Linked DNA regions of Lonchura striata. The protein of the gene in region 3 interacts with the protein of the main gene of each other region in a biochemical or structural test. Links are inferred from orthologs where the notes say so. Each region holds a gene or a part of one and is shown on either strand. Other genes may lie near its edges.

Region 1 (10,175 bases), on a different chromosome or scaffold from region 3:
GAAAGTAGCAGTGATATTTCAGCGTAAGCCACATCCTTTGAAGACTCAACTAAAGCGAGCCCTTGGAGAAAGTCCATTTGCAAAGCAAGTATTACAGGAAAACATTTAATTTTAATGTTTAGTTAACTGTAGGATGAACTGTTATTTCAAACCTACCCAGTATATTTAGAAAGTTATTCTAGTTCGAAAAATATTTGGTCTACCACATTTTATTCTCTGCTTACAAGGGCTATTTCTATTTGAATTTACCATCATTTGGCATGTGGCCAACACCGCTTTCTCCTTAACAGTTTTCTTTCATACATCTGTGCTTGCAGCACACAGAGGAAGCAACAATACCGTGTGAAAGAACATACTAACACCATAAAACCCGTCCAAAAATGCTGAGAAGCAGGTGAGCACTGTGTGTGCATTGTATGATTTCTAAACTTTTAGCAAATGATAACCATAACAGGCTCCATTTTCCCATGCTCTGCTTCCAGCTAGACTATCACAGCAGCTCTGGGTTCCAGTATTTGATTTTAAACTCTGTAGAAAAAGCAAGTGGCTCAGTAGCTTTATCTAAGGGGACTTAGGCCATCTCCAGTCTGCCAGCAGGAGACACGGCTGGCGCTGCTGTGAAGGAGCCAGCACTGAAGCCCAAGCACAGTGCCCCGAGGGCACAGAGGTGCCATCCCCTGCAGCTGAGCAGCAGCTCTGCTTTCCAGGGAGCACCCTGACTTTGTGAGCCACACTCTGCTGTCCAGCACTAACCCTGCACACACGCAGCAAGACTCAGCGTACAGCACAGGAAAACATGGAATATCTTCAGCTTACCGAAGGAACAGAGACTCCCTGCAACCCTGAGCCCTAAACCAGCTTTCTACAGCCAGAGCCAATTATGCTGAGCCTCAAATGAATCAACAGAGCACAAATTAAGCAGTGGCAAGGCACTGCATGCAGAGACCTGCAGCTAGAACTGGCAGAATAAAGCACAAAGATGCATTTATAAAAAGTCATGTTCGTGCCACAATTTATCTGCTGCTTAGCACCTGAGCAAAGGAGCTACCCAAATGCTTTCAGACTGCAGCCTGCACTCCTGCTGCAGCTTATAAACCAACAACACTTCTAAAGCTTCCCTTCCACTGACCCTAAACACACAACACAACCACACTGTTACAATTCTTCAGGGTCAACCATTTCACAGTTTACTTCCAGCATCAAAATCCATCTACGTAAGAAAATATTCTATAAATATTCTTCCAGAGACAGTGAGTATCTAAAAAGCTTCCCATGCCTTTTATGTTGTGACAGAGGGATATCCAAAATATCCACGATCCCTATCTTCCTCCCATAGTCTGAATAAAGTTCATTAATTTTCAAAATCTGTAGTATTTTAATTTAGCTTAGAGAGGTTTGAAGCATTCAAACATTCAAGTTAATATTTGGTTAAAAGACCTTAAAAAATGAATAAAGAAACTGAGAACAGTTATTTACAGGCCTCAAACCCAACTCCAACTACACTTCAGTTTTCCAGAGATAGGTTTTGGAAGGATACTCACTTCCAAACATGCTGGAAAATCTAAACTATATCCAGTTCTTATTATATATTCCACTAACTATACAAACTAGAAAAGAATGTACATTTTATTTTCATTTTGCTGCCTTCACATGGAAAACTCTGCATGAGCAGTCCCCAAATGTCAGCTCTGCCTCCACCCATAGTGGATGGAATCACCAGTTGAATGGTACATCAGTAAATAATTCAGAGGTGTTTTTACTGCTCCTGATAAGCACATCAAAGTTAATATCATTGGCCAACATACTAAAGTCAACATATCTGGTTTCTTTAAACACAAGAAGCAACTCTATCTGTATTTAAGGGATGTGTTTTTAAGATAATATCTCGTTCTATCATCCTGTGTAAGAAATTAGAAACTAAAGCATCTTCTAAAGTTCTGAAAGGCTTCTGCATGTGAAATTACTATGAAAATCTGATACTGCGCTCACTGTGAGCAAATGACAATCCAGTCATTGTTGTTTTCATGATATCCATCCAGTTGTTTTGATATTCTGGACAAATATCTACTTTTCTTTCCTCCTCTAAGAGCTTAAACTGTGCTTTCCTTAGCTTTGGGGTACGGGTTTTTTGTTGTGACATCTCCGGAGTGAAAGCTTCTCATTCCAATAGATACTTCTAATGGTATTTCTGCAGGGTGCATGTCATTCACTTACCCTTAAGAATCTGTTTTCTGTTGCACACCTTTACCACAGTTAGTACATGGTAAAGCTCACTTTCCTCTTATGGTTTTATGGAAGAGGATTTTAATTCGAATGCGCCTTTCTTACACTTAGGTTTCTCTAAAACAGAAACAACAGCCAGAACCTTAGCAATTATTTTTCTCACTTGGGTCCCTGAACAGCCTCCACAGAATCTTATGGCTCGTAGTTCTTTTAACAAGCAAATCTAGAGGAAAGTATGGGATAGAAATAGGTATTAAAAACCAAACAAACATTCAAAAAAACCCTAGAGTAACAAAACGCAAAGAACTTCATCACTGTTCACCCTGTGACCAGCTGTACAGAGAATGGTTCCACCATTGTGCAGTGCCCAAGACTTGATCGTCACAAAATCACCTAAACAAGGTCTTCATTTTGAAGCGTTTGTGTCTCCCCATGCTGGGATTACTTCTGCTGAAAAAAGGAGATCATCTAAATTCTGTTCTTTCCCAACTGTACTATCATAGCTGAACACAGCTTCCGCTCCTTGAAAAAAAAGACGCATGGACAATTTTAACCCTTCCAGGTCATGTGGCACCCAGGCAGTCTCCCTTCCCTTAGCCACACCTCCCTGTCTAGGCTCATTCCTCCTGGAGCCGCTGTGCTGTATCTCCAGATAACAGACAGGCAAGGAACACGGGCAAGCTGCAAATGTTCACCTGCAGCACTGGGGAATGTTTCTGGGTTCCAGCAGTTACAACCCCAACGCTGAGGTACCAGAAGGCCGTGGTACAATTACCCCGGGGGAAATGCTTTTCTGCACCCATCACACACACTGCTCTACTTACTGCATTCTTCATGCAAAAGCCAGCATTGTAGGAAAACTGCTTTGCTAATGTCACAGCCCAGACACGAAAAGCACAGCTCACGGAGAAGCACCTTCTTCTTCCAGATGTACACGACCTGCCAAGATGCCATTTCCAGCAGCTTATTTAAAAGCAGGATGCAGTTGAGAAACTGAATTTCATGACATAGATGCACATATTTACTAATCAATCAGGGGAAAAAAAAAAAACAAGTAGAAATCCCACCCCCTGTGCTTGTCAATAGTTGGATGCAAACCAAAGAATCACTTCAGTCCTTTTTTAAACTGAATTTTAGTCCTCAATCAAAGCTCATGCTGTGCTACAGTTTGAGCAGGCCACTGAGTCATATCATTCAAAGAGAGCAGGACAAAAATATCACTGAATGCTAATCCCTCATTGAAAATGGGCCATTCCCTCATTCGACGTAGATATTTCACTTCTGTAATTCAATTGTACCTGTAGAAATGTACTACTTAAATTACAAAGCTCTGTTACTCAAAATCATTTCCTGAGCACTAAGCTCGCAACACACCAAATCATCCAGAACGGTTCAGCAAAAACATAACGTCATATATCCACATGACTTTCAACTGATACAGTCGGCAAGCACTGACACTCGGCAGGGAAATGTAGGAAATGGACCTTCTGAAAAGCAGGCTCAACATGTCATGCTTATTCTCTAAAGGCCAGACAACTCAAGATGTTCACCCTGCAAGCTACTGCTGTTACAACTTGCATGCTACTATTCTGAAACTGAAGTCCTTTTATTTCACTTTTATGCAACTCCTCTCCATGGTCTATTGCCAGAGAAATTCACACTGAAAGAAACAAAGCTCAACATCTATGTTGCAAACATGAACTTCAAGTCATTCATTTATGCAATATACCAGCTTAAACATTCAAATGGATGTTACAGCAATGCTGCCTGATCTGACTGAACACATCCGCCCAGTCATTCACGTATTTCAGCTTCTCTTAAACTTCATTTTAGATAAAGGTGTGAAGAACTTTTAAAGACAAAAGCACCAACTTCTGTGGCTTGTATGCTCAGCTGGATCCAGAAGCCAAATATTACTGCAAGCGTTAACGTTTGTCACGGCGCTGTTTTAAATACCCCCGAAAAAAATCTAAACGCAGCAAGCGACACAATAAAAACCCACCAGCAGCTAGCTGCAGGAGTATTGCTAATAAGCTGCTGCAGGCTCTGTTCTATGATTAAGGCGCCTGAAAAGCGAAATGCTGCTGTGCTCCGAGCCGAAGGCAGCTCGGAGGGGCGGCCGGAGCGGCTCCTCCGCTGTCCCCGCGCTGAGGATGCGCCCGCGGCGGCAGCTCCGGGCGGGCAGCGCGGCGGGGCCCGGCCCGCCGGGGAGCCGGGCAGGGCAGGGCAGTGCCGGGGCAGCACCGGCGGCACGGCGGAGAGAACGAGCGGCAGGCAGCGAGCGGAGGCAGGCAGCGCTCCCCACCCGCGGCCGGGGCAGAACCGGGCAGGGCGCTGCCCCTCACCTGGTAGATGGCGGGCCAGCTGGCGGCCTGGTCCAGCCGCTGGAACTCCTTCTCCATCTCCATCTCCACCCCGAGGGGGCCCGGGCCCCCCAGCGCCGCTCCGGCTGCAGCTGCTGCCGAGGCCGCGGCGGCTCTGCCCGGCCCCCGCCCTCACGGTGCCGCCGGAACTGCGCACCCGCCCCGCCGACGCCATGTCCGGGGCGGTGGGACCCGGGCCCGGGCAGGGCACGGCGGAGCTCGGGCGGGCACGGACGTGCCCGCCCGGGCTCCGCCGTGCCCTGCCCGGGCCCCTCCGTGCCCCTCCGTGCCCCGCCGTGCCCGCCCGGGAAGGGAAATTAAGCTTAGTGGGCTCTGGGAGATACATCCTTGGAAAGTGTAGGCCGTGTGCTTGCTAGAAGCGCAGCTGTGCGGCTAAGTGATAGAATTGTTAGACGTGATGGTTGTTTAGTAGGTAAATATAATTGCTGTTTAGTCGTAAGAATAATCATGAGAGGCTGTGGTCAAGGGGTTGAGAAGGGTGGCGAGAAGCTCATGGCCAGCACACACCTGAGGGACCTCGGGCAATGTGTACAATGGTCTCGTTCAGCGTGGGAGCAGCAGCAGCTGTGAGGGGCTGGGGTCACCTCAGTGTCCAGGAGCGGGACAGGAGCCGGGCAGTGTCCCCCGGCAGTGGGGACAGCCTGGCAGCGGGGACACCGGGCAGAAGGATTCGGCTGGGACACACCTGCACAGGGCAGGTGAGCAGAGATGAGAGTGAGGACAAGGAGATGCGACAATCAGAAGCCAGACGGGGACTCAATGCCAGGCTCAGCGAGCCACGTCACAACCGCGGTACCTCAGGTGTGTGAGGGCTGAGAACTTACACAGGAGTGTGAGGGCTGAGGGGTCCCTCAGGTGTGTGAGGGCTGAGAACTTACACAGGTGTGTGAGGGCTGAGGGGCCCCTCAGGTGTGTGAGGGCTGAGAACTTACACAGGTGTGTGAGGGCTGAGGGGTCTCTCAGGTGTGTGAGGGCTGAGAACTTACACAGGAGTGTGAGGGCTGAGGGGTCCCTCAGGTGTGTGAGGGCTGAGGGGTCTCTCAGGTTTGTGAGGGCTGAGAACTTACACAGGTCTGTGAGGGCTGAGAACTTACACAGGTGTGTGAGGGCTGAGGGGCCCCTCAGGTGTGTGATGGCCAGGATCACCACAGGTGTGTGAGGGCCGGGGTCTCTCAGGTGTGTTTGGGCTGGGGTCTCAGGTGTGTGATGCCCGGGGTCCCTCAGGTAATGTTCAGGCCGGGGTCCCCTTTCCCTGGCCCGCAGCCGCGGCTGTCCCGGAGGAGCTCCGGAGGAGCCCGGCAGAGCCCGGTGCAGAGCCCATTCCATCAGGGCAGTCCCGGCAGAGCCCCGGAGATGCCCGGCAGAGCCCGGTGCAGAGCCCGGTGCAGCAGCGCAGAGCCCGGCAGAGCCCCGGAGGAGCCCGGCAGAGCCCGGTGCAGCAGCGAGCCCCGGCAGAGCCCGGTGCAGCAGCGCAGAGCCCGGCAGAGCCCCGGAGGAGCCCGGCAGAGCCCGGTGCAGCAGCGAGCCCCGGCAGAGCCCGGTGCAGCAGCGCAGCCCGCAGCGGGCAGGAGCCGCTGGGTGTCACTGCTCCATCGGGAGTGCTGGAACCCAGCCCCGCTCGCCGCCCGCGCCTCCTCCCGCAGCAGCAGCGCCGGAGGCAGGGCACAGCTCCTCCTGCGAGTTCTTACTCTAGTTCTTCCCATTCCTCCTCGTAAAGATGTACTTTTCCGCTGGCCGAGTATTTCCGTCTAAAATTGCAGGGAAAATTGGCCCTGGCATAGTTTGGCTTTTCTGTAAGGTTTCTTTGGTGGCTTCTGAACTATTTCCTGCTTAGTAGGAAGCCGTACAAATGATATACAAATAGTATAAATTAGTATAAAAATGTATATAACTTTGTAGTATAAATTATTATACAATAATATATATTATACTGTATAAATAATATAATATTACACAGTATAAATTATTATAAGATTTTTTAAAAATAAACATCTTACAATAAAATTTATTGATGGTTGGGATAGACTAGGAAAGGTGGTAGGAATGTCTGGATTGGAATTGTTACAGGAAGGTCTGTTTTCATTAAATTTTCAGTCCTGGCTTGCAATGGATAAAGGGTAAATTAATCTCTGGATTTATAACTTCAGCTGAAGCCAGAGGGGATTTACACAAGTGCTGAATTGGACTCAACTGGCTCCACGCTTTTGGATACATGTGCCAGGGATACCTGTCCCAGTAGAGCTTAAGGTCTGAAATACATTCCAGCCAAGAATATGAGCTGAAAATGGCCACTTGGATCAGACATCTGTGCCCTACAAACTTGTTCACCCTTTAATACATATTTAATCCTCAAATTGTGCCTCCGCACATATGCAGAGCAGCAAAAAATTTCCTAAGAGCCTTTATGAAATTTATGATCTACCTTACAAAATACTAAAAGTTGCAAAATCTGCGAAGGATTGCAGGAAATAAAACACAGAAGAGATTAAAAGTCTTACTGGTAACTCAGATCCATATAATAATGGAGGATTAGGTAAATGAAAATGTTCTGTGCTCTCAGGACACAACCCTTCTTGCACTTTGCACAGAGAAAGGCAGTCCCTTCCCAAAACAATTCCAACCTGTGCAACTTAAGGCACACTGTATTTTCATCCCAGTGTAGCCTGATTCAGAGGTTTTGGTTTTCAAATTGTCCACTAGAGCCTGGCTCTTAAAATGACAATGAGAATTCAGGGGAAAGGGTTGGATCGTGTTACTTATTTCTACTTCATAAAAAAGGCGGGTGCTTGTCCAAACTCAATCCTACATTTCATATCCTCTCTTCATCCTCCACAGCTCAGAGGATCTTGATGGAGAAAGCTGGGAATACACAAATACACGAACTGCACTGTGGAGTGGCAGGGTGTGCCAGCCCCAGGGCTCGCTGCTCTGGCAGCTGCCAGGCTTTAGCTTTTGTGAAACAGAAGTTCTGGATGGGATGGGATGGGATGGGATGGGATGGGATGGGATGGGATGGGATGGGATGGGATGGGATGGGATGGGATGGGATGGGATGGGATGGGATGGAACTTGAGTGCTGCAAACAAGACTAGAATACCAAAAACTCTGCTTACTGCCTCTGTTAAAGGAAAATAACTTCTGTGTGTGTGTGTGCCTGGGCAGCTTCTGCTGGTTCAGATCTTTCAGAGCCTCCGTGGGTTTTACAGGGCGTTTCATACCCTGCTGTGGCAGGAGCAGGTGGAGGCAGAGATCTTTAATCAGCTGTTAGTGACTATATCTCACCGTTGGATGGCACTCCAGCCCTTACTGCTCGTTGCCATCACAGCCTGGATTTCACTCGTACACAGGATTTTTAAGTCAAGTAGTAACGATTAGGAAGACTTTTTTTATTACTAATGTGATAATAGAGTAAAATTACACTTGCAGAGCTGGCTTTAGTTTCACAGCATTAGGCTTTGAGAGGTCTATGTTGAAATCTTGCCAGATTGTTTAGTTTTTTAAATAAAGATTTCCAAATGCAGTTGGGACTCAGGGGTGATGGACTCTCTAGTGTCAGGAGAGATGTGTGTATGTTTATGATTGTAAGGTAATTTATCCCCAGGCTTTCAGTCACTGTTTTATCCTTTATGTAGTGTTTTAGATTAATGGGAGAATGTTTTCAGCAACCTTTTCCTTAAGTGATCCTTTTTCCTTGCAGCAGATGCAGCATCCCTGAGTCTGGAATCACTTCCACCCGTGCTTCCCCGGGCTGCAGAACGGTGAGTGCTCCAGTCTGCACATCTCTAGTCTGGCAAGCAGAAATATTTTTTCCCTCACATTGAAGATGTTCAATGTCTGCATTTCATTCAAAGTTGTGGCTGCTGGTTTTACAAATGCAGGGAGCATTAGCTCAAATGTGGTTACTGACACAGCAAAGGTTTCCTGCTGAGACAGTAGTGTCCTTGGTGTCACTGCAGATTTGCCTGGGATTCCTGCAGGGTTTTGCAGTCTGCCCCGAGTTCCTTGCTGCCAGCAGCCTTAGCTTGGAGCAAAGGGAGTTTATTTATGATTTTCTGACTGCCCTTGAGGTGGGTATCCAAGGCAAAGTGTGTGGCAGCAGCAGCGACCGAGCCTCCCCTCCTTTGGCACCCGCTGCTGGTTTCTGTGGCATCCCACCCCTGCAGTTCTGCCAGCCCCAGTGTTCATGCAGCTGCACTTGGGAATGGAGGTGGGAACACAGCTACTTCAAAAAATACCAATCCCCCCAAAAACACCACCACCACCACCAAAAACCACACCCCACAAAAAATACTTTTCTTCTGGATTAGCTTTAGGCATGACTAGGTCTCTAGTACAGTAAACCACATTGGCACATAAACAATATTTCCAGAACTACAGAACACGTTGATGCTGGGGCAGGAGGAGAAAAGAAGATAAATATCAGTACCATAAACCAGTATTACCACTCAAGACTCCATCCTGAGACACCCCAGCTAATTCTATAATTTCAGTGATCCATGGTGTTCTAAAATTTGTTGTTATTTGTAGTAGTAGTAATTACAGCAGTAATAACAGCAGTAATAACAACTATTATTATTATTATTATTATTATTATTATTATTACTATTATCTTTGTGACAAAATGCATGCCAGCCATAAGTAAGACTGTAGTTACAACAAATATCTTGTGTGGAAAGAACAGCCTGAATTCCTTTTTGTCTAGGAAGAGAACAAAAGCCTTCTCATTTCAGGTAAGCCTTTAAGATAAAAAAATAGGAAAATAAAATCTTATCTATTTTAATCAGTATTTCCTTGAAACAAGTGTGACTATTTTCATATTGTCCTCTAAAGAACAGTTCTTTCTGGAGGCACATCTTAGAGCTTTTAGAGTGTGAGAGTTTTCTCACTCTTTATTTATTTTCTGTAATGGAAGAGGAGCTCAGATCAACTCCCTTTTGCTGAGTCCGAGGGGCTCAATAAAACTGCTTGGGAAACCAGCACCGGATTTGGGATGGCAGCAGGGAGATTTACACTTTGTGTTTCCCCAGCACTGCACATAAACAAGTATCTTTCAGCTGGAACATTTTTTACAAGTGAGATACAGTAAAAAAGTCTGGCCCAATTTGAAAAGTAAATGAGACAGAAAAATCCTTCTGCAGGGCAAAGCAACCTCGATGCATGGCTGGCCTTGGTGACCCCCTGCCAGGAGAAGAGGGACCTAGGAACGTTTCTTCTAATGGGTTATCTGAATCTTATCTGCTCAAACACTTCAGAGTTCAGGAAAAGCAGCCAAAGTCAATTTCTGCTTAGAGTGTTTAAAACAAAAAATAAACAGAAGGGAGAAGTTGTGCGTGTGCAGGAGGAGGCGTTGCGCTGGAGAACGGGCAGGGTGGTGGGACTGGGGAGGGAATGGTTTCACCCACACTGGCTCTTCTGAAATCCGCTTGCATCTATCCATGTTTTCGCAAATGAAAACGAAATTGCACAATCCATAATTGTGGTGATGGAGGGCTGCTGGTGCTCTCTCTGACCTGCCAGGTAGGTGAAACAATTGTCAGTGTAAATTAGAGAACAGCTGTATCGTTATTC
Region 2 (9,889 bases), on a different chromosome or scaffold from region 3:
CCACTGTCAGTTCTTCGCCTGGAACTCTACAATGATTAAGGAAACATCTCTTTCCTTCCTCAAGATTAGGTGAAGAAGCAAAGCCATCCTCTCACTAGCACTTCTTCAGCATGTGTACACTCTGCTACGCTGGTAACATTTGCACAGTTGAACAAGCAAGAAGGGAGGGAAAATACAGATCCTGAAGTTACTTACTAGGTCACTTTTCTCAAAGGAAGTGGTATAGATGAAGCAATTCTTGTGGATGTTTCTTCAGAATGTAACCTAACTTCTCGGTCCCTCAACATAAATAAACAGACTCCACATGAAGTCATCCACATCAACTTCACCATAACATAGTTTCTTCTTTCACAAGGCAATTGAAAACTCTGAGACTGAAGGAAAAACTTACCTCTAATGCCAGCGCAGTCTTGTCATAAGCACAGGGTACTCTCTTTTGGACAGCTTTGGCATAGACTGGTCCATTCTGTGTGGATGGCAGAGGATTGATCACTGCTCCAGGTGTGCTGGATACTGAGGGAAGGGGAGTTGCGGTTTGAGGCTGAGCATAAGCATGGGCAGGTTCTGGAATACCGTAACTGTTGGAATTCCTGTTTCCATGCTTCCCAACTGAAGATCTGACTAGCTTTTCTACGTAGGGAACAGGAATCATCCCAATTCGACCCTCCTTGTTTCTGGCACTCCACCACTGTTCTTCTGGCTTCTCTACAATTACCAGTATCTCGCCCTTTTTGAACGGGAGATCCTCGGCATCGTTGCCAGGAAAGTCATAGAGAGTCCGAACACACTCCATGTTTTCCTCTGCAGCAGACATGGCAGGGGCAGATCCAGATCCCATTGGTGGACTTGGATACCTGAAGATTTGGTAAAAGTAACAGCTTGGTTTGTATTTCCAGTAACAAACTAAGTACTAGGTTTGCAGCAGGAACATCAATTAGAGAAGGATTAATTACTTGGGTTTGTAACCAAATCATTGGCTTGGTAGCACTGTGAGGCATTTCATGAGTAACTCACACTTCTCAAATAATGACTTAAACACCCTAAGTAGCCTCCCCAGAAGCCCAAAATAATCTATCATGGGATGCAGAAAACTGGAGAAATCATGCAAAATCTTCAACCACATGTTCTGGATTGTTGTGATGATCTTAGAGTCAAATTAATTCTATAATTTAAGTTATGAGAGTAATGATACAGAAAACCAAATTAAGACTATCTGGGGGATTGAGGTGGAAGGGCATTACATAAAAATGTAGCTATGAATCTCTCCAAGAGTCCCTTGCCACCTCCAAAGTCATCCAGATAATTTTGTTTTTATCTTCAGCATCCACTTCTAAAGAATTCAGTAAGTAAATGCTAGACTTGAAACACTGTAGAGGAAAAAGGGAACAAAAGTAAGATGGTATGACATCTTCATAAAGACAGTATGAAATACTTGCATCCACTGATAAGAAGGAACTAAGAAAAAAAAAAGCTAGCCTTCTATAAATATTCCTTTGCCTATTTACCTATTAACCATATTATCTATACTTTATTTACGTAATTGTTTATTACTATGTCCATCATTTGTCAAATACAGTCACATTGTTGTCTGTGAGAATATATAAGATTGTCCATCAAATGAGAATGATTTCATTATTTTCATCATAAATGTTATACATTTTATTCAAAGCAGCTGTCAAAAAAACCTTAGTGGATATAGGCCACAGCAGATACTTATTATCTAAGCTATGATAGCAAGGATGCATGTCATTAACCTACTTCAATTCTCTTTTGCTACTTGCAAAATATGATGGAAGTCAAATCCCTGTGATTTTTGCAAGATATGCCAGAAGCCCTGAAGATAAAGATATTCCATCTTCAGACACCCTGCTGCAGCCAAAGCAGGGGGACAGAGGGAACCCTTCAGGGAACAATTACTTTGCATAAGCAAGAGCTCAGAAACATCAGCAAGGATGGTCAGAGCTCACTACTAGAGACATAAAAGAAGCAAAGTTTAAAACGGTCCATTTAGGACTGTTTTAAAAGTTTAAGATGTCATCTCTAAGATCTAGAAGTACTGTAGGGCTCTATATAGAAACCACCTTTCAGACTGTACTTTATGAAATTAAGAATGAACAGCTTTCAAAAGCACAAGCATCTGTGCCCAGGAAAATGCCAGAAAAATAAGAATTAGCATAACAGTTCTGACGCACATACCTGGCCACCCCTATTCTAAATCTAGTCTATTAACTAAAAATTTAAAAAAAACCCACCAAAAATCTGGAAATTCTACCTTTCATCATCCCTCTTGCAGCAGGAAGTCTCCTTTGCACAGAATTTAAAACCATCAACCACATAACTGATTTTTCTAAGAGTTTTAACAAAGACATTGTAAGGAAAAAGACCTAGTCAATCCCATTTGTAGCTCTATATAAAAGCTAAAAAAGTCAATTCCCTGCAGATTAGGTCCCATTTGTCTGTGTGCTGAGAGAACAATATGCAACCAAAACGTTGCAAATGAGGTGGTACTAAAATGTTCACAGAACATTTCACACAGGACTCCTCAAACTCCACAAATACCAAGTGTGCAAGTGCAATCAGCTCCAAGTTCTCAAGTGCTTTGAGAAAGCCAAGCCAGTCATGGCCATAAATGATTATGAACAAGTTTTTGCATCCAGAAAGGTTCAAGAGAACAGAGATAACCATGAAGATTGCTTCAGCATAAGACTTTTTTTCTTCCCAACTCTCCACATGTTTAAGCATGCACATAACACTGGGCAGCTCCATTTAAGCATTCCTGCAATGGTGAAAACCATTTTTTTTATCTACCCATCTCTCTAGCCACAATCACTACCCAAAAGGCTGCCAGCAGATTGAATAGTTCTTGAAGGTTGTGCTTTGTCACATCCTGCCCATCACTTAACAGCTTTTCAGAGTGACTTTTGAACACCTGGGTTTTCAACTTGACAAGCTATTGTCAATCTTTGACAAGTGACTGTCATTAAGTACTGGTCTAGGCCAAGGTTCAATTGTGATTATAAACCTAAAAGTTATTCTTCCCTCCTAAGAACTTGCTAATCTGCAAAACATAATAAGATATTAAAATTCAGAAGTGAACCAATTTGGATTTATTTTTTCAATATGTCCCTACTTTTCTCTTATTTAATTTAATTTCATTCTCTCCAGGAAGCCCAAAAGTTTTGACAAAAGACACTGAGAAAGGCTTTATTAATTAAAAGTAAGGAATATGTTATAGGAGTCTTCATAAGCAGTTTACTGATGTATGTTGCAGGTATGTCCCATGCTGGGACCAGGACAAAGAAGGAGCTCATAGCCAAGTCACATTTTCCCATCCTCCTAGAACAGCATTTCTCAGTGAAGTGTATGGTATATGCAGATATAGATGAACAGTACCATAAGCAATCTGTGAGAAAATAAGTGTTTTACATTTTTTTGGTGCAGAAATGCCACTCTAAAAGTTTGGGAAATGCTGCCCTATGTATTAACGCTGACTTAACAGGGCAAAGCAGTCTAATCACATAAAAGCCAGTCCTATTGTAATCGGTGTGGGTGCAGGGGTAGACAGCAAACTAAGCTCAGAGGCTGTACTTCAATCACGGAGAGGACTGGTGAACCAGCTTCTCAACCATCCTTGGAACAGAGAGACAATGCTAGAAGAAGAGAGTAACACAAAAAGGGTGACGTGCGACCACACCCTCTTTCAAGGCCATTTCAGCCCGTGGCAGATGTACATGGTACCTTTACACACAAGGTCAGCACAGGGAGAGTGGATGATTGCACGGAAAGAGCAACACTTTTAATTGTCGGGGAGATCCAGAGCGTTAAGGCTCAGCGTTAGCAACGAACGTTTCCTTAGTATTTATTCATAGCATCTACACCCAGTGCCAGGCTCCGGAGCTCCTGGGCTGGGCTGTGACACCTTCACAGGTCGCACCTCCTGGCGCCACCCGGAGCAAAGGTGGCGGTGGGTGTGGCGGGGGACACTCACCTGGGCGCGGGCTCGATGAGCGTGGTGGTGTCCAGGTAGTGGATCTTATAGAACTCCAGCAGGGCGGGCAGGTGCTCGAACTCCTGGTCGCCGATCTTAAAGCGGCGGTTGGGCAGGGAGTTGATGATGTAGTGGGAGACGCGGGAGTTCTCGGACACCGAGAGCACGTAGTCCCCCGGGCAGGTGGACGAGTCCCGCACCAGGAACATGCCGTGCCGCTGCCCCTGCAGCCGCGTCTGCGCCTCCGCCCGGGACACCGGGCCCACGTACCAGCTGGAGCGGTCCGACGAATCGAAACGAGCGGCGGAGGACATGGCTCCGGGCGGGGAAGGGGAAGGAAAGGGAGGAAGGAAGGTGAGGAGCCCGGAGGCCCTGGCGGAGGAAGAGACCCGGAGGAGGCCTGGGCAGAGAGGCCTGGGAGGTGGAGCGGGCTGGGGGCGAGCGGGAAGCGGCTCGTGCTTAGTCCAGGAGAAAGGAAACCCAGGGCAAGGGGGATAAGGGAGAAGGAAGCTCCGCGCCGCTGGAGGCGAAGGGCCGAGGAGCGGCTGGGGTGGGGCTGGCCAGACGCGGCGCGCAGGGCCCCCGAGTCTCCCTCAGCGGCGGGGTGTGCAGGGCATCCTTCCCGCCTCTCTCAGGCCTGCGGCGGGCCCGGCCAGGCGGGTGACGAAGAGCAGCGGCGGCTGGCACGGGCGGGCGGCCCGGGAAGGCGGCGAGCGGAGCCGGCCCGGCTCGGGGCGGGACGCGGAGGCTGAAGCGCCGGGCGCCGCGTCCTCCCGCGGGTTCCTCCCCTCGCGAGCCCAGCTCCAAAATGGCGGCTGCGCCGGGCCGCGCGAGCGCCGCGAGACACCGCCCCGCGCACGCGCCGTGGCGGCGGCGGCGGCGCGGGGCCGCGCCCGCCTCAGGGGCCGGGCGGGGGGTTCGAGCCCCGGAGCCCCGTCCCGGCGCCCCGGGGAGCGGCACGGCCGCCCCTTCCCCGTTCCTCCGCGAGAGTCACTCAAGCCGTCCCCGGTGCACCCCCGCTCGGTGCGGTGAGTGAGGCGGGGGTGACCGCATCCCCTCACAGGGCAGGGCTCCCTCAGTGCTGCAGGCGCGCTTTGACGCGGGACACCCCCCAGAAACTCCCCAGCCCTTGGCCTTCAGGTATCTGAGGGGGCCCCTCCATCTTCCCCCCATCCCTCTCGGCACGTTCTCCCTGCTCGGTGCCGCCCAGCCCCGGGCTTTGCTCCCCGCTGTCCCGGGACTGCCTCGGGCTGCTCTCGCTGCTCCCGGACCCGAGGGGTGCCAGCACCCTCACCCCAGGCGGTTTGCAGACAGACACCACCTCTCCTGAGGTTTTGCTGGTTTTTACTAGTTAATTAATTCTCTTTTAAGGAACAAAACGGCCCGCCGTGATAATCATCTCTGATCTCGAGATAATTTCCTACGTGCTCCAAGGGGCCGTTTCCTGCCTCTTCGTAGCTTTGTTCGCAGATAACGGGGTCAAAGCCCGGCCTGGCCCGGGCGGGAGGGAAGATGGTGTGGCAGCCGCTGAGGAGGAAGGAAGGCCCGGAAAGGCCTCGGCAGGGCTCGGGGGCAGCGCTTGGCACATGGTGCGGATGAGCTGTTTGAATTTGAGAGGAGGTTGGCGCCGGGAGCCCAGACCGGCACCGGGCTCTGACTCACGCCCCGGGGGCCGGCAGCGCCATTCGGCCCGTCCGGCCGCACTGCGCGGGGGCGCGGCAGAAAAACTGCGCTGCCTCCCCGGAGGTGCTAGAAACCTCCGAGAACGGTGTGATTTTAGCTCAGCCTTGTGACTTCGTTTAATTTGTGCTTTTTTAATTCATTTTGCTTCAGGGCTGGCAATGTGAAATGAAGCAGCACTTGAAAAAAAAGAAAAAAAAGCCAGTTCAAATGAGAAATAGATTTAAGATGTCTGTCTTGAAGCGCTTAGCTGGACTGTTGTGCAGTGTTATTCCAGCTTTGCTGTCTTTCTTTCATGCTCTGCCTTTTCCAAAAGTTCAGTCATTACATAGTCATATTTTTCCTTTGTTCCTCATCCTCCATTGGCAACCAGTGCCAACCGAGGTGTCTGGATTGGAACATATGGGCTGTGTCTCTGCAGACATTTAGCAGAGTTCAAATCTGAAATGGAAGACTTCTCCAGTGTCATGATTTAGACAAAGCCATCCAGGAGAAGTCTCATCATTGAGATGAAAGGATCTTAAAGCAGCCCCTGAATTCATGAGCAGGTATCGTTTTACCAGCTGCTGACATACAGCCATCTCCTGGGTGGAAAACAACAGCTGTTAGTCATGTACAGCAAAACAGTGACCTAGAGATGAATAATTACATCTGAAAATTCACATCTATGCAAAAAAATTTTGTCCATTACTAGGAAATCTTACTTAGTAGCTATACCTCTGATCCATTCCTCCTGGTTTAAGTGCTTGTGTCTGCTAGTAACAGCCAGTTTTAAACACTTGTAGACAGGCTATAATAGAATATGAAGGTTATGATGTTTTCTTGTGTCATTGAACAGATCTGGCTTGTTTTCTGTTTGACCATGGCCAAAATACAGATTAAAAGATAGCACTTGAACTTGCAATAATATACTAAATAACATTTAAAAATAATTATAAAAGCTGTAAGTTAGCAGCACATTTAGTAACTCATAGTATATAAAAAGGAAATAAAAATTCCTGCGGCTTCATTTTGTTGAATTACATTTTTTGTTAAAATAAAAATCAAATATGTATAGTGATTTTGCCTCCATTTTGTACAGATAATACTAGAATCTCAATATAGTTTGAACAGGTCAGAAATAAGTAGTATTCTAAACCAGTTTTTGTGCAGTACTGCATGGGGCTGGACTGCTGCTGAAGAACCAATGCTTCCACCTTCCCATCCAGAGAGGATTCTAAGGCATGGAGAGGTTTTCAGTTTGAATGAACTTTGAAATTAGATATTCTGAACTTGTATATGTGCAGGTTGTGTGCATCCTTCAAGTAATTCCCTCTGTTTTATTAACCGGGGTTAAACTAAACCAGGTATTTTAGGAAAAAGATCCCACATATGAGGGATATCTCATATCGTATCTTCCATATGAGCAAAAGTTAACTTGTTCATCATTAATGCTTTCTGATAAGACTGTGCTTCAACTTCCTAGACTACAGACAATCATCTCAGGTGTATTACATCCCTACAAATGCATTTGGTTTAGGAAGAATGGATGAATGTCTGGTACCACTTTGCCTTTTTAGTACATATAAATACCTTTATGCTCTTTGACTTTACCTGTTGGCAGTTGAGCATGGCCAGTTGTAATGCAGGGGGGAGCTCAAAAGTGCATCAGCTGCCCATGAAACAAAACCTCAGCTGGCAGAATATTCCCTTGAGAAGGCCCTGTACCTCTTTCCCTGTGCCAGCTGTTCCTTCTTCCTTTTCACCAGAAGCTTCTTCCTTTCACCAGATCCCATCAATTGGGCTGAGTTCCAAATAAATTGTACATGTGGCTCATCCCTAAGTAAGGAGAAGTACATTTCTGCCAAGGCTACAGAATAAGAATCCTTATTTTATTTCAAATCAAGTACTGGGTATGCTTCCAATACAAAATTAATGACCCTAATTTGAACTATGAGGAAAATGGGAAAGGATATGTTGGATTTGGAAATAGACAGCTGGAGAAGAAATACAGTAGTGAAAGCAGTTATGAAACAAAACTGAAGCAATCACAATCATTTCTGCAAATATGGAAAATGTAAGCCTGAAATACTTCAGGATACAAGTCCACTAATTACAAATCTGGCAAATATGCCTGTACAGCTTTACCTCTGTGCTGGCAGGAAATAGGAAAATAGATCATCAAGAAAGCTAATTACCATTCTTCTGGACTTCCTAATGTATCAGCAGTTTGAGTGTTGGTATTTTGATCACTCACTTCTGGAAGAGCTGTTTGATTGTTCTCTCACAGACCAGAAATAACTTACAGCTTTCTTAGTTCATTGTCCATCTGTCCACAATGTCTTGTTTTATACTGGCTCAGGGAGCTTACTGTAAAAAAAAAAAAAAGCCTTTTACTGTCAGATACAAGACTGACATATTTAGGACACCAGAGAAGTTATATATAAAAAAAAACAACCTAGAATCAGCTTGAAATCCCTATGAGTACATGTTTCTTTTGAGGTAACAAAGCTTAAGTGGGCTTGTGAAAGTTCAGTTCCTGAAGCATCATTCTTGATAGGAAAACCAATCAATAATAATTACAGCCCTGTGTATCAACCTGTAATCTTTCCTGCGATTTGTTTATATAGGTAATGGTAGTAAACAAGAAGTAATTTATGTCTGCTGAGTAAAAGAAAATTACATTTTTAAAGCAAAGCAATTTTATTATTATTTAGCCTGTGTGCTAGTTTGAAAAAAGGACATGCTGGCCTAAAGTGAGCTACTGCTAAAAAATGATTAGGATGGTTTGAGCTAAACTCCATGGTTTTTTACCTAAATGAAATACATGCAAGTAAGATAGTGCATACTGTAACTTTCAACAGTCACATTGTCGTCAGATGTAAATAAATTTTGGGGATGAAAGCAAAAAGTTGTTTTTTTACCAAGTATTACCTGCCCTTAGGATTAGTTCAAGTAACTTAGGGTTATTATACCAAATATATTTATATTATATATAAATATAAATAAATATATATATAATATATATATTATATATAAATCACTCAAATAAGTAAAAACAAGAGAAAAATAATGTAATGCTAAGGTAGATGATCATCTGCTTTAAGTAATTTCCTTGCAACTACATTCTAAGCCTTATATTCATTAGCTTTTCAGAGCATCCAACTGCAACATTTAGTGAATAATGCAATCACAAAATAGCATATGCTGATAAATGGAATGTGGATGAGCTCTCTAGAATCAGTATTCACACACAGAAGGAGTGACAGGGTAGAAGCTGGAACACCCACTCTCCCCAAAGTTTGCTCAAGATGTTTCTTTGGCTCATTAATTACTCATGAATGTCTTCTATTCTCGTATGTAATCTAAGAATTAGCCTCTCAGGTTGGTTATTTGTAACAGTGAGTAATACCCTCTAGCGGTACACATAGGAAAAGGAGCTAGACAAAGAATGATTAATTCTTTTTTCATTGTTAAAGAGGCTAAGTAAGGTTTCATCTAAATAACAAGAATAACCCTGTATCTTTGTATGATACAGGGCATCACTGGTCTGTCTAGAGATGCTGGTTAAAATGGAAAATGCACTGCACTGAGTTAGATGTCAGTTAGAAATAATAATTTGTTTGCAGAGGAAACAAATTGCCACTTACAGTCTGGAAGGAGTGGTTCTAGTGACTCCCACATCAGAGAGGTATGTCCTTATATCTGAAGGCTACATTTAATTCCTACATATGACAAGTAACTCTGTAGGCAAAAAAGGAATATTTATCAGTCTCTAATATTGCAGTGTAATAAAGCCTGCATTTCCAGACCCTGTGTGCAGTCCAGCGTTCACTATCAAAAAAGTATTCTCTGAAAAAGTTTGTAATCAGGGTTTCCTGCAGTTACCAGGACTTTTGTTTTATTTGCCATTGGCAAAGGTTCAGAGATGGAGCTGAAAATTGACAGTGCTGAATAGAGTCCAACAAATGCCTCTCTTAACAAGAAAAAGCTATTGAACTCATTTAAAGAAGTAAGTTTAATGCAGGTAATTCAAATACCCTTTAATCTTTTTCCAGAACCCCGGTCTACTAAGGCAGAGTAATTTAGGTCTGTTTTGAAATAATCTTTGCTTCCATAAATAGAATATCCCCAAGCAGGGGGAATATCCAGGAAGTTAATGCATTTCTCTGAAGTAGCACATCCATGTGCAGTGTGTGTCACAATGTGATGACACTTGTCTAGTCCCATGTCATTCTGATT
Region 3 (9,800 bases):
TGAGCGTGGTGAGGTTGGCCTCGCACTGCTCCAGGTAGAAGAGGAGGAGTTGGCGGTCAGCAGGACACAGTGTCCCACCACCCCGCGCGGGGCTGTAGTGCTGGGGGGGGCTCCAGTTGGACAAGTCGTTGTCGATGGGGCGCGTCACCTCCTGCTCCAGCCGCTCAAACTGCTTCAGCTGTGGGAGAGACAGGCATGGGGCAGGGTGGCCATTGATCCAGCACCTGCTCCCCTCCATGGAGCCACCAGCACAGGTGGCCATGGGCCACCAGCCCCAGGGAACACAGTGAGAGACAGCACCAGACCCAGGACAGCCATGCCAGGCTCCTCTCTGGGATCATGGTGCCTACTCCCCTCTTTACTGGCATAGCACTGGTATGAAAGGCAAGGTAGAACACAATATGAGAACATCCATGGAAGGCTGTGGTCAGACCAGCAGCAGAGGTTACAACAGAAGCAAGACACAGGGCCCTGTGCACAGCAGCACCCACCTGCAGGCCCCAGTGCCCTTACCTGCTGGTGCTCCAGCTGGTCCTTGTTCTGCCGGATGATGTTGCCTTTCTCCAGCAGCTCCTTCTGGGTCTTCTCAAACTCCTCCTTGCCCTGCAGGGGCATGACATGGAAGGGGTCAGTAACATCAGCCTTACCAGAGAGCCTCCACCTGCCCTGGTCCACAAAGCCCTCAAGCTGGAGGGTAAGAGCAAAACATAGGCAGAAGCAGAGCTGCCTAATTCCCCCTGTGACAGAGACATAAAGGCTCCCTGTGGGAAGCAGCCCCCATACCCATGCCCACCTGGAGATGGACATAGTCATAATCCTCCATCCAGCCGCTCTCGCTGTTCTCGTAGGGCCCGTCAGGTGACTCCTGGGCCAGCAACTTCGGAGGGGAGGGCAGGGGCCGTGACTGGATGCTGCTGGCTTTGTCGGAGGGGTGAGGGGGCCCATGGCCACCACTCTCCACCACCGGCTTTGTCCGTTTGAAGAGAAGGGAGGCATTGCCGTGCAGGAAGGAAGCCAACTGCTTAGTGTCATCAGGAACACCACGTGAGTGCATGATGAAGTGCTCCAAGTCATCTGTGCCCAGCTTGCTGCTGGCCAGAGCACTGGGAGCCCAGTGGCAAGCGTCCAGCGCTTGGCCGTGCCTTGCCAGGGCCTGGTAGACCTCCTCCATCTTCTGTAGCTGCTTGCTGAGCTTGGTGTAGAGGGAACGGTCAGAGGCCTGGGCAGCATTGCCCACTGCCCCCCGGGCAAACTCCAGCAGGTCCCGGAGGGCTGTCCGGACACCGTCGGCTGCCCCACGGATGTTGGCAGCATTGGCCTCCATGTGCTCGGGGTTGCGCCAGTTGGTGCTGATAAAGGACATGAGGTAGGAGACAGCGCTGCTGACGCCACTCTGGAGCTTGGCCAGTGTCTCCATGGCGGCATCCAAGTCCAGGGAGAACTCCTTGCCGGCTCCCTTAGCCGGCTCCTTCACAGGCACCACGTCCAGCGAGGATGTGGAGATGTTGCTGCGGGTGCTGCCTGTGCTGGAAGCCGAGAGGCGCTTGGCATCAGCACCCTTGGCCTCGCGGTCTACTTGTGGTGGGACGTCGTAGATGTACTCGCCCTCCGTGTCCACAGAGCCCTTGCCTGGGGCGTGCAGGTCCCGGGGCACATCATACACCTCCTGGGAGGGGAAGGTGGATCCCCCCAGCTTCTTGAGGCTGGGGGGCACATCATAGATCTCGTGGGAGAGTGGCAGCTCAGGAGCACCTTTCCCAGCTGTCGGGGGCACATCATAGACATCCTCTGGCAAGTAGGGCTCCTGCTGGGCCAGGATGAGGGGGTGGCGGGAGGGGTCGAAGGTTTTCTGCTTGGCGAAGGCGGGTGGCACATCGTAGGTCTCCTCCCGTGCTGGGCCATCGGGCACGTCCTTGCTCACTGAGGGGGGGACATCGTACACCTGCAAGGGCAGAGCAGTGGCACTGTCAGCAGGGAGAGGCAGCCTGGGGTAGGTGTGGAGATGCAGGCTGGCTGCCCCAAGCTGCAGAGCATGCAAGTGACAGCACTGAGCATTCAAGATGGCCCTGGGATGAAGCCATGCACCCCAGGGGTGCCCCTGCCCTTTGGGACAGGAAGCAAAAAATCATAAAGCAGCCCAGGTTAGAAGGGACTTTGAAAGATCATCTGGTCCAACCTCATCCCCTGGATGTGAACATCCAGCAACCCATTCCTTGGCATTCTGAAAGCCTCCAGTGCCAGGGACATCACCACATCTCTGGGGAGACTGATCTAGTAAATTACTTTTCTCCGTGTAAAAATCTGTCTGCCATTCTTACACAAAGCTGGGAGCTTCCCAGCAGCACTTACAGTTTGGTGCAAGTTCTTCTCCACGCTGGGGGGCACGTCGTAGATCTCTTGCCCTGGGTCCTGCCCATTGGGACCCTTCACTGCCATGGGAGGAGTGTCATAGACCTGGAGAGGGGGAACACAGGATGACGTGTCAGAGATGGTGTGGCCACCCACCTCCCCTCAGGGACCAGCTGAGGTGCTCAGAAGCAGCACTGAGGTCCATGAAGTATAGTTTTGGGTGCAATTTAGCCTGGTATGGATCTCAGGCAGTGACCTGGAGATCCATAGTGACCTGGGGATGATCTCCAATTCTTAAGAGCAGAAACAGAAATGTCCCCCTGACATCCCAAGCAGCCTCACCTCCTGGCTGAACTGGCTCGGGACCCCTCCTCGGACAGGTGGCACATCATAGATCTCCTGGGAGCCCGTGGAGATCAGGTGGCGAGGGAAATCGTACTCAACCTGCTCACCCTTGGGGGAATCATAGACATACACCTGGCCCACACGGGTGGGCACCAGCACCTGAAAAGAGGGAAAAGACATGATGTGGGCATTACTGAGCATCTCCCACCCTGCATCATTCCCTCAAAACCCGGCAACGGGGCCAGAGAGAGCACGGCTGCTGGATTCCGTACCGGGCTGCCTGGAGTTAGGGTGTGCCCGGTGCCACGGGAGGGCGCTCCCCGGCCGGGCTGCGGCGGTGCCGGGATGATATCACCGGTTATTTATAGCGGCGTAGAGTCTCAGCGAGAGACAAAGCCCGGCCGGCACAGCCGTGGCACGCAGAGAGCAATGGCCGATCCAGGCATGGGCTGGGGTCTGCCAGCGCCCGGAGATCCCTCCCGACCCACAGCTCTGTGCCTGAACGGGTCGTTTCATGGTGACACCAGAGCGGAAAATAACCAAACCCAGAGGGTAATGGCACCCTGCCCAACCAATGCCAAGGAGGGCTGAGGTGTTGGGCCGGTTTCTTCCTTTTCGGATGTTCCTTGTGCCCTGGCTGTGATTTGGCAGCTCCCTCCCCTCACTGCCTGCTTCCCAGGGGTATGAGTTGGAGTAGCCTTCCTGGAAAACACGATACTGAAAGCACCTCACTCCTCTTCCCGGGGATGACGTGCCAGGGTAGGGGCAGAGCCAGAAGCAGGCTGGTGTCCAGGATGGAGCCGTTAGGTTCCATGCTGGGGACAGCCTGGTGGCTCACCCTTCCCTCACCAGTGTACCTAGCAAGTACTGCAGGCTGCCTGGCACAGTCAGGAAATGCTGGCTCTGCCTGTCTGTTCCTGTGCACGCTCCCAGGAGGAACAAAATCTCACAGCATTGTGCTGGGTACCACAGCTCCTTCCACAGCTCCAACACCTGGCATTCCAAAATAGCTCTTGGCTTACCAACACTCTGTGCCCATACCAAACACACTGCCATGCCCTGGGTGATACCAGCAGAGCCCATATAAGAGACCACAAGGACCAGAGTGCTGAATGCTGTGCCAGCCCCAAGAGGGATAGCTCCCACCAACCAGGGCACCTCAGCCACTGCAGGGACTCTCCAGTGCACCCACTCCTGCCAGCAGTGTGGGCAAAGATACCCACACAACCCCAGCAATGGGCACATATGCTGCTTGTTCCAAGCGTAGCAAGCTGAGAAGCCCAAGCTCTGCCACCCACTTGTACCCCTGGACCACAGAGCACCCCACAAACACAACACACTCCCACTCCAGTCTCGCCATCCTACCTTTCCCTGGGGCTTGTGCCCTTCCCAGCTCCTCATGTCCAATGACGGTGGCACCTGGTAGATTTCTTGAGCCTGACCAGCTGAGGGAGGAACCTGGTAGACATCCTGGGGGGGACTGGCAGAGCCCCCTGGGTACGCCTCTGCTGCCTGGCCCAGGGAGGGGGGAACCTGGTAGATTTCTTGGCTGGGGTTTGGGAAGGTATGGGGAGGTGCCTGCTTCGGGTAAGTGGAAGGCTGCTTAGCTGGGGCAGGAGGAAACTGTCCAGTGGGTGCTGAGCCCGGGTACAGACCCTGCTGTCCCTTGTTGGGGACTGGCATCAGATAGACATTGTCCCCTTGGGGGCCATAAGCAGGGTGCATGGGGGTGTACTGCGAGGCAGATGACAGCGGGGTGTAGCCCCCTTGGTGGTGGAAGGGCAGAGCTGGCTGGGGTACAGATGGCTGCGGTGGTGCCTGCCCCTGTGCCGGGGCAGGCGCCTGCTGCTGCGGCTGCTTCTTGTCGTACATCCCCACGAGAATCTTGAGGCGGTTCCCGGGAACGATGCCCTGCCGGCCATGGAGCGAGCAGAGCCACCAGCCATCCAGCCCCTGCGTGTTGCGCTCCAGCACCGTCATGATGTCGCCCTTGCGGAAGGAGAGCTCGTCCGGGGACTCGGCCACGTTGTCGTACAGCGCCTTGGCCAGCACGTTCTGGAAGAGAGCCCCGCGCCGGGGCGGTGAGCCGGGCCCCGCCGGCCGGTGGGGCGTCATCCCGGCGATGCGGGGCGGCAGCTCAGCACCGGGACGGAGCCCCGCGGGCCGGGGGCTTCGCCGCTCGGCTCCCGCCAGCTGGAGCTCCCCGTTCCGGCCACCGCGGGATCCTCGCTGGAGCAAAACCCACCCTTCCCAGAGGAGGTGCTGGGAAGGGGCCGGGCCCTTCCGCCTCCCCGGTTTCGGGGGGCCTCCTCTGCCTCTCCCGCCCCTTCCCTCGCCGGCTGGGAGGAAGTGCCGGGGCGGTGAGTCAGCCGCGGCCGTGGCCGTCGCTCGGCACCCGCCGTCGGTCCCGGGCCCCTTCCGCCCCGCGGGGTCCCCGAGCCGGGCCCCGGCGGCACCTGCCAGCGCTGCTCGGGGCCGCGGCGGCGGGACGGGCCGCGGCTCGCCCGGGACGGCAGGGCCGGACTCCCGCTGCCCCGCGGCCCTGCCCGCCGCCGGTGCCGCCCCGCCCGGTGGGGCGGAGGCCTGGGGAGGCCCCCGGCCCCGCTGGGCCCCGCGAGTCCCGCGGCGCCCTGACCCGCCGGGAGGGAGGGGGGCAGGCAAGGCCCGGCCGGCTCGGAGCGGGGGAGCTCGGCCAAGGTCACGGCAGTGGGATCGGCCGCACGGGAGAGGCCGTGCCCGGGCCGAGGGTGCGGGGGCTGAGGCCTTCCTCCTCCTCCTCCTCCTCCTCCTCCTCCTCCAGCAGGGCCCCCCAGCAGCCGTTCCCCCGCGCCCTACCTGTCCCCGCACACGCCCCGTGCCCTGCCCCGTGCCCCCGCTCACCAGGTAGTTCATCTTCCCGCGGGGCCGCTCCGGGCCGGGTGCGGGGCCGGGGGCCGGGCCGGGCCGGGCCGGGGGCGGCGGGGCCGGGGCGCGCGGGCGGCGGCGGCGCCGTAGGGATCGTTATAGCGCCGCGCGCGCCCGGCCCGGCCGCTCCGCCCGCCCCCATTGGCTGAGCCCGCCCGGGGGCGGGGCCACGCCCGATGGGCGGGAAAGGGGCGGGGCCGCCCGTGAGGGGCGGGGCGGGCACAGGGCCGGGGTGAGCGACGTGAGGTGAGGGTGAGGGGAGTGAAACGGTGGGACAGCGGCCAAAGGGGTGGGACAGCGGCCAAAGGGGTGGGACACTGGCCAAGGGGGTGGGACACTGGCCAAGGGGGTGGGACACTGGCCAAGGGGGTGGGACAGGTGCCAAAGTGGTGGGACAGCGGCCAAAGGGGTGTGACACTGGCCAAGGGGGTGTGACACTGGCCAAGGTTTGTGACCAAGTGCGACAAAGGGTAAGGGGAGAGGAACAGGCGTGCAACAGGTGTGCACTGAAGCGTGTGCAGCAGGTGTTGTAGTGAGCCTGCACTTGGTGTGTAACAAAGGCTGTATGCAATGTGCAAATGAAGGAGACGGGCTCTGCAATAGGTGTGAAATGGTACAAGGTCATTAAAGGTTAGCGGGTGTGTAACACGTGTGCAATGGTTGTGCAATAAAGGCTAACAGGTCACTGGGGAGTTCTGGGGTGTACTGAGGTGTACTGGGGTGTACTGGGGTGGTGTGTAATAGCAGGGGGATACAAGGGGAAGGTGATGGGTAGTGTAGGTGCTATGGCTCACATGGCACACCTTGGCACATGTAGCATACCATGGCACACATTGCACACTCTGGCACACGTGGGACACCTGGCACACAGGGCACACCACAGTACCTGTGGCACACCACAGCAGCCTGTCTGGCCTGTTCAAATGGCCTGGCTACATGGCCACAATCTGCACCCCAACAGCTGGTAAGGCTGGGTTTGGCATCACTGCGTGATGTACCACAGTCCCTGCCATCATCTGCAGAGAGCTGGGAGCAGTCTGGCAGGTCATGGCTGCAGCTGGAGCTGTGGCAGGCACGCATGTGTGATCTGCATGGGGGCACAGGACCTGTGGACATGCACAAGCTGCATGGACACCCATGCTGCTCCCCCAGTGTGTTAGAGCCAGAGCACACAGGGAACCAAGGGAAGGGACACAAGGGGTGCCTGCAGCCACTGAGCTCAAGGGCAAGTAGGCAATGAGTGGGCCTGTGTGAGGCCAGTGAGTGAGTGGTGCGGGTGGAGACAGGCCAGGAATGTGCCCTGACTGGGCGCGCATGCCTCCTGGCTGCCATCCCCATCACGCATTTCCCCTCACCCTCCGGGGTTACTTTCAGGCCACACCAGGGTGGGGCGGCAGAGCTGAGGCCAGATTGCAAACACGTGCCCTCCCCCAAAAAGCAGTGCTTGGAGGCAAGTGTCCCTGTGTGTCACTGGCAGAAAGGGAAACTGAGGCACAGCTGTGGCTGGGAGACATCCGCTGGCAGGGACTGTGGTTGCGCCCGCAAACCGCAGCTGCCCCGGCGGGCGCAGCCTGAGGACTGCGGTTTCCTCTTGTTGGTGACAGTGGTGACAGCGCAGGCATGAGCACCGTGGGCATCCTTGGGGTGGGCTCCAGGCTCCCCAGCCTCTCTTCCGCCACCCTACAGCTGATCCCATGAATCCCATGTGTTTGCCTTGGAGACCCCGAGTCTGGTGTGGGCCCACCAGGCCAGCAGTGAGAGTCTCCTGGGATCCCTGAGGTGTCCCCAGGGAGAAGCTGCCACCATACGAGTTCAGGCAGGTGCTGAGGGGCCATAAGGTTCCTGCTTTTGGACTTAAAAGCAGTGGGAACATCACTTTTCCCTCTCCCTGTGTTGATGCTCAGATCAAAGTGTTCACTGTCAAACTCAATCCCATTTTTGGTCCATCAGAGCCAAAAATCACTGCTTGCACCTGCTGAGCACCCCAAGCTGGCAACAGCTCCTGCACATCCCTACAGCCAAGCACCCATGGGGCAACAGGCAGCAGCAGGTCTTCCTTAGGCTTCTGCTACCTTTGAGAAAATGAAATGCCAAAAAGAAGACGAGAAGTGGAGCATTACAGGGGCCCTGCAGCGCTGGGGGTGCTCAGAGCTGGATTGGCTGCCAGAGCATCCCTGTGCTGCTGCTGCTGGGGGTCCCGGCAGTCCCACGCCGTGATTCCCTGCCAGCTCCAATGGACACGGGGCTGGGTGTTTCGGGATGGATGCTCCTTGGGATGCAGGTTGCCCCAGCAACGGTTGCTATGGAAAACACTTCAGTGGCAAAATTTCCAGCCATATTCATGTGTCCGTCATTGTCTTCCGGAGGTCCCTGGTGGATGGTGAGCCAGGCACGGCTGGCTCTGCACGGGCAGGCTGCTGCTGTGGCTGCAGGGGACTGGCTGTGCTGGGCACAGCTATTCCTGGCTTTTTGCAGCTTTTCCTGCTGGATATGGTGTGAGAAGGCGTAGGAGGACTCCAAAGTGAGATCTGGGGGAGCATGGCAGATGTACAATGGACAGGGGGAGCAAGCTGTGCTGAACCATGCCATATTAATTGGCTAGCAGCCAATTAATGTCCCATTGGCCCAGCTGTGCCCCAAACATTGGTTGAGATTCATTTTGGTGAATCAAACACAGGGCACTGCTTTGGGACAGTGGGACATACCAGGAAAATGGGGTGGGACTGGGATGTTTGCTGGGACCAGCAGCTTTGGCTGGGGCTTCCTGCTCCTGCCCACAGCCCTGCCAGGTCTGTGCTTTGGAAAGCTGCTCCCCACCTCCTGGAGCAGCAATAGGATTACACAGGACTGAGTCTCCTAGCAATGAATGAAGAAATAAATCCTTTAAGGCAGGACAGGATTTATTAGACTTCAATATTCTGGAAATAATGAGGACATTTCTTTTGGCTTGTAATATCACGGGACCCAACAGGATCACAACCAGGATTTATCCTCGTGCTTCTCTGTGGCACTGGGTTGGTGCTTTGCTGTGGAGGGAAGATGCTGGGGGAGGCTGCTTGCCTTTCCAAAGAACAGGATTGCAAGGCACCCCCTCATCTCCAGCAAAGCCAAGGCAGACTGCAGGCCTCAGGCTGCCCCAACAGTAGCAGCTCTGTTTGTCTCCCCATTCATCCCCTAGCGAGGGCTGGCGCTGATCCTCGCCCCCAGCTGGGGCTCACTGCTGGGAGCGGGAAGGGCTGACAGCAGGAAGGGTTGTGCCATCGCCATCAGCTGAGTTTCAAATGTCAGTGCCAGTGCCCACCACCAGCACAAGGATTCCCTGGGGTGGAGACCCTCAAATGGGGTGGGAGACCCACAGTCCACTCCATTTCTCCCCATTACTTTTGAACACTGCAAACAGATCCCCACTGTGCTGCTTGGTGGGACATTGCTCTGAAGGAAAGGTGGGAAGAGGCTGAAAACAACAAATTGGAGAAGAGGATATGGTGCTGCCAGCATCACCTTCCAGCTCTGCCCCTCAGGGAACTGCTGCCCTAGCGGCAGAGAGATGCTCCTAAGGTCAGCTCCACGCTCTGGTCCCTCCTTCTCCCAGCTGCCACGCTTTGCCCGATGGCAGCTCTGTCCATGAATCCCACTGTGGTCCTCGGGACAGCCTGGGGCTACGGGATGCACTCCCAGCCAGCCAGCATTCACCCTCCTCCCATGCTGAGAGCCAACATTTATTCCTGTGTCCCTTTCACTGAAGCAGCTTTAAGTGCACAGTGTTACCTCTCTCTAATGATTCCCGTGGCCCCGTAACAGCCCCCACCAACCCCAGCAGATCAGTAAAGCTGAGCCTGTGGGTGTGGGTTGGACACAGCTGGTTTTACCATGGCCCCAGCACACGGGTGCCATGGCAGAAGCCCTGACCATCAGGACACACAGACACAATTGGAGCCTTGTTTGGGGCTCAGCTGCACAAGGGGCCCCTTCAGGCAGCCAGGGAAGGGGGAGCTCCTCAGGGTGAGGTGATGCTCTGGCCATGAGTGACTCCTTATAGGGCCAAAATTACCCCAAGCAAATGCCCAGGGTGGGTCCCAACCCATGGAGAACGTGTGAGCTTCCCAGAGAAGACAGCTCAAGGTGGGAATGTCTCAAAAGATGGAGCCACATCTGAGAACATTGCTCCTTGCAGAAAGTGCAGGGCTGCCGGGGACATCAAG

The links.
Region 1: the proteins of BCAR1 (region 3) and PTPN1 form a complex in vitro, tested with the Homo sapiens proteins (3 studies listed by BioGRID and IntAct, with this or other methods). The link is inferred for Lonchura striata from reciprocal best matches to the Homo sapiens genes BCAR1 and PTPN1.
Region 2: the proteins of BCAR1 (region 3) and CRKL interact in a test that uses a peptide from one of them, tested with the Homo sapiens proteins (2 studies listed by BioGRID, with this or other methods). The link is inferred for Lonchura striata from reciprocal best matches to the Homo sapiens genes BCAR1 and CRKL.

Annotation. Positions count from the first base shown.
Region 1 is NC_134619.1:1,088,094-1,098,268, reverse strand, and holds the start of PTPN1 (tyrosine-protein phosphatase non-receptor type 1), read right to left. Parts: upstream 4,722-10,175; 5' UTR 4,632-4,721; coding exon 4,569-4,631; intron 4,353-4,568; exon of another isoform or gene 3,060-4,352; coding exon of another isoform or gene 3,048-3,059; intron 1-3,047. UniProt on the Homo sapiens protein: Tyrosine-protein phosphatase which acts as a regulator of endoplasmic reticulum unfolded protein response. Mediates dephosphorylation of EIF2AK3/PERK; inactivating the protein kinase activity of EIF2AK3/PERK.
Region 2 is NC_134620.1:3,750,558-3,760,446, forward strand, and holds the start of CRKL (crk-like protein), read right to left. Parts: upstream 4,722-9,889; 5' UTR 4,303-4,721; coding exon 3,989-4,302; intron 855-3,988; coding exon 392-854; intron 1-391. UniProt on the Homo sapiens protein: May mediate the transduction of intracellular signals.
Region 3 is NC_134615.1:15,779,615-15,789,414, reverse strand, and holds the start of BCAR1 (breast cancer anti-estrogen resistance protein 1), read right to left. Parts: upstream 4,810-9,800; coding exon 4,060-4,809; intron 2,854-4,059; coding exon 2,692-2,853; intron 2,455-2,691; coding exon 2,350-2,454; intron 1,943-2,349; coding exon 794-1,942; intron 604-793; coding exon 514-603; intron 179-513; coding exon 1-178. UniProt on the Homo sapiens protein: Docking protein which plays a central coordinating role for tyrosine kinase-based signaling related to cell adhesion. Implicated in induction of cell migration and cell branching. Involved in the BCAR3-mediated inhibition of TGFB signaling.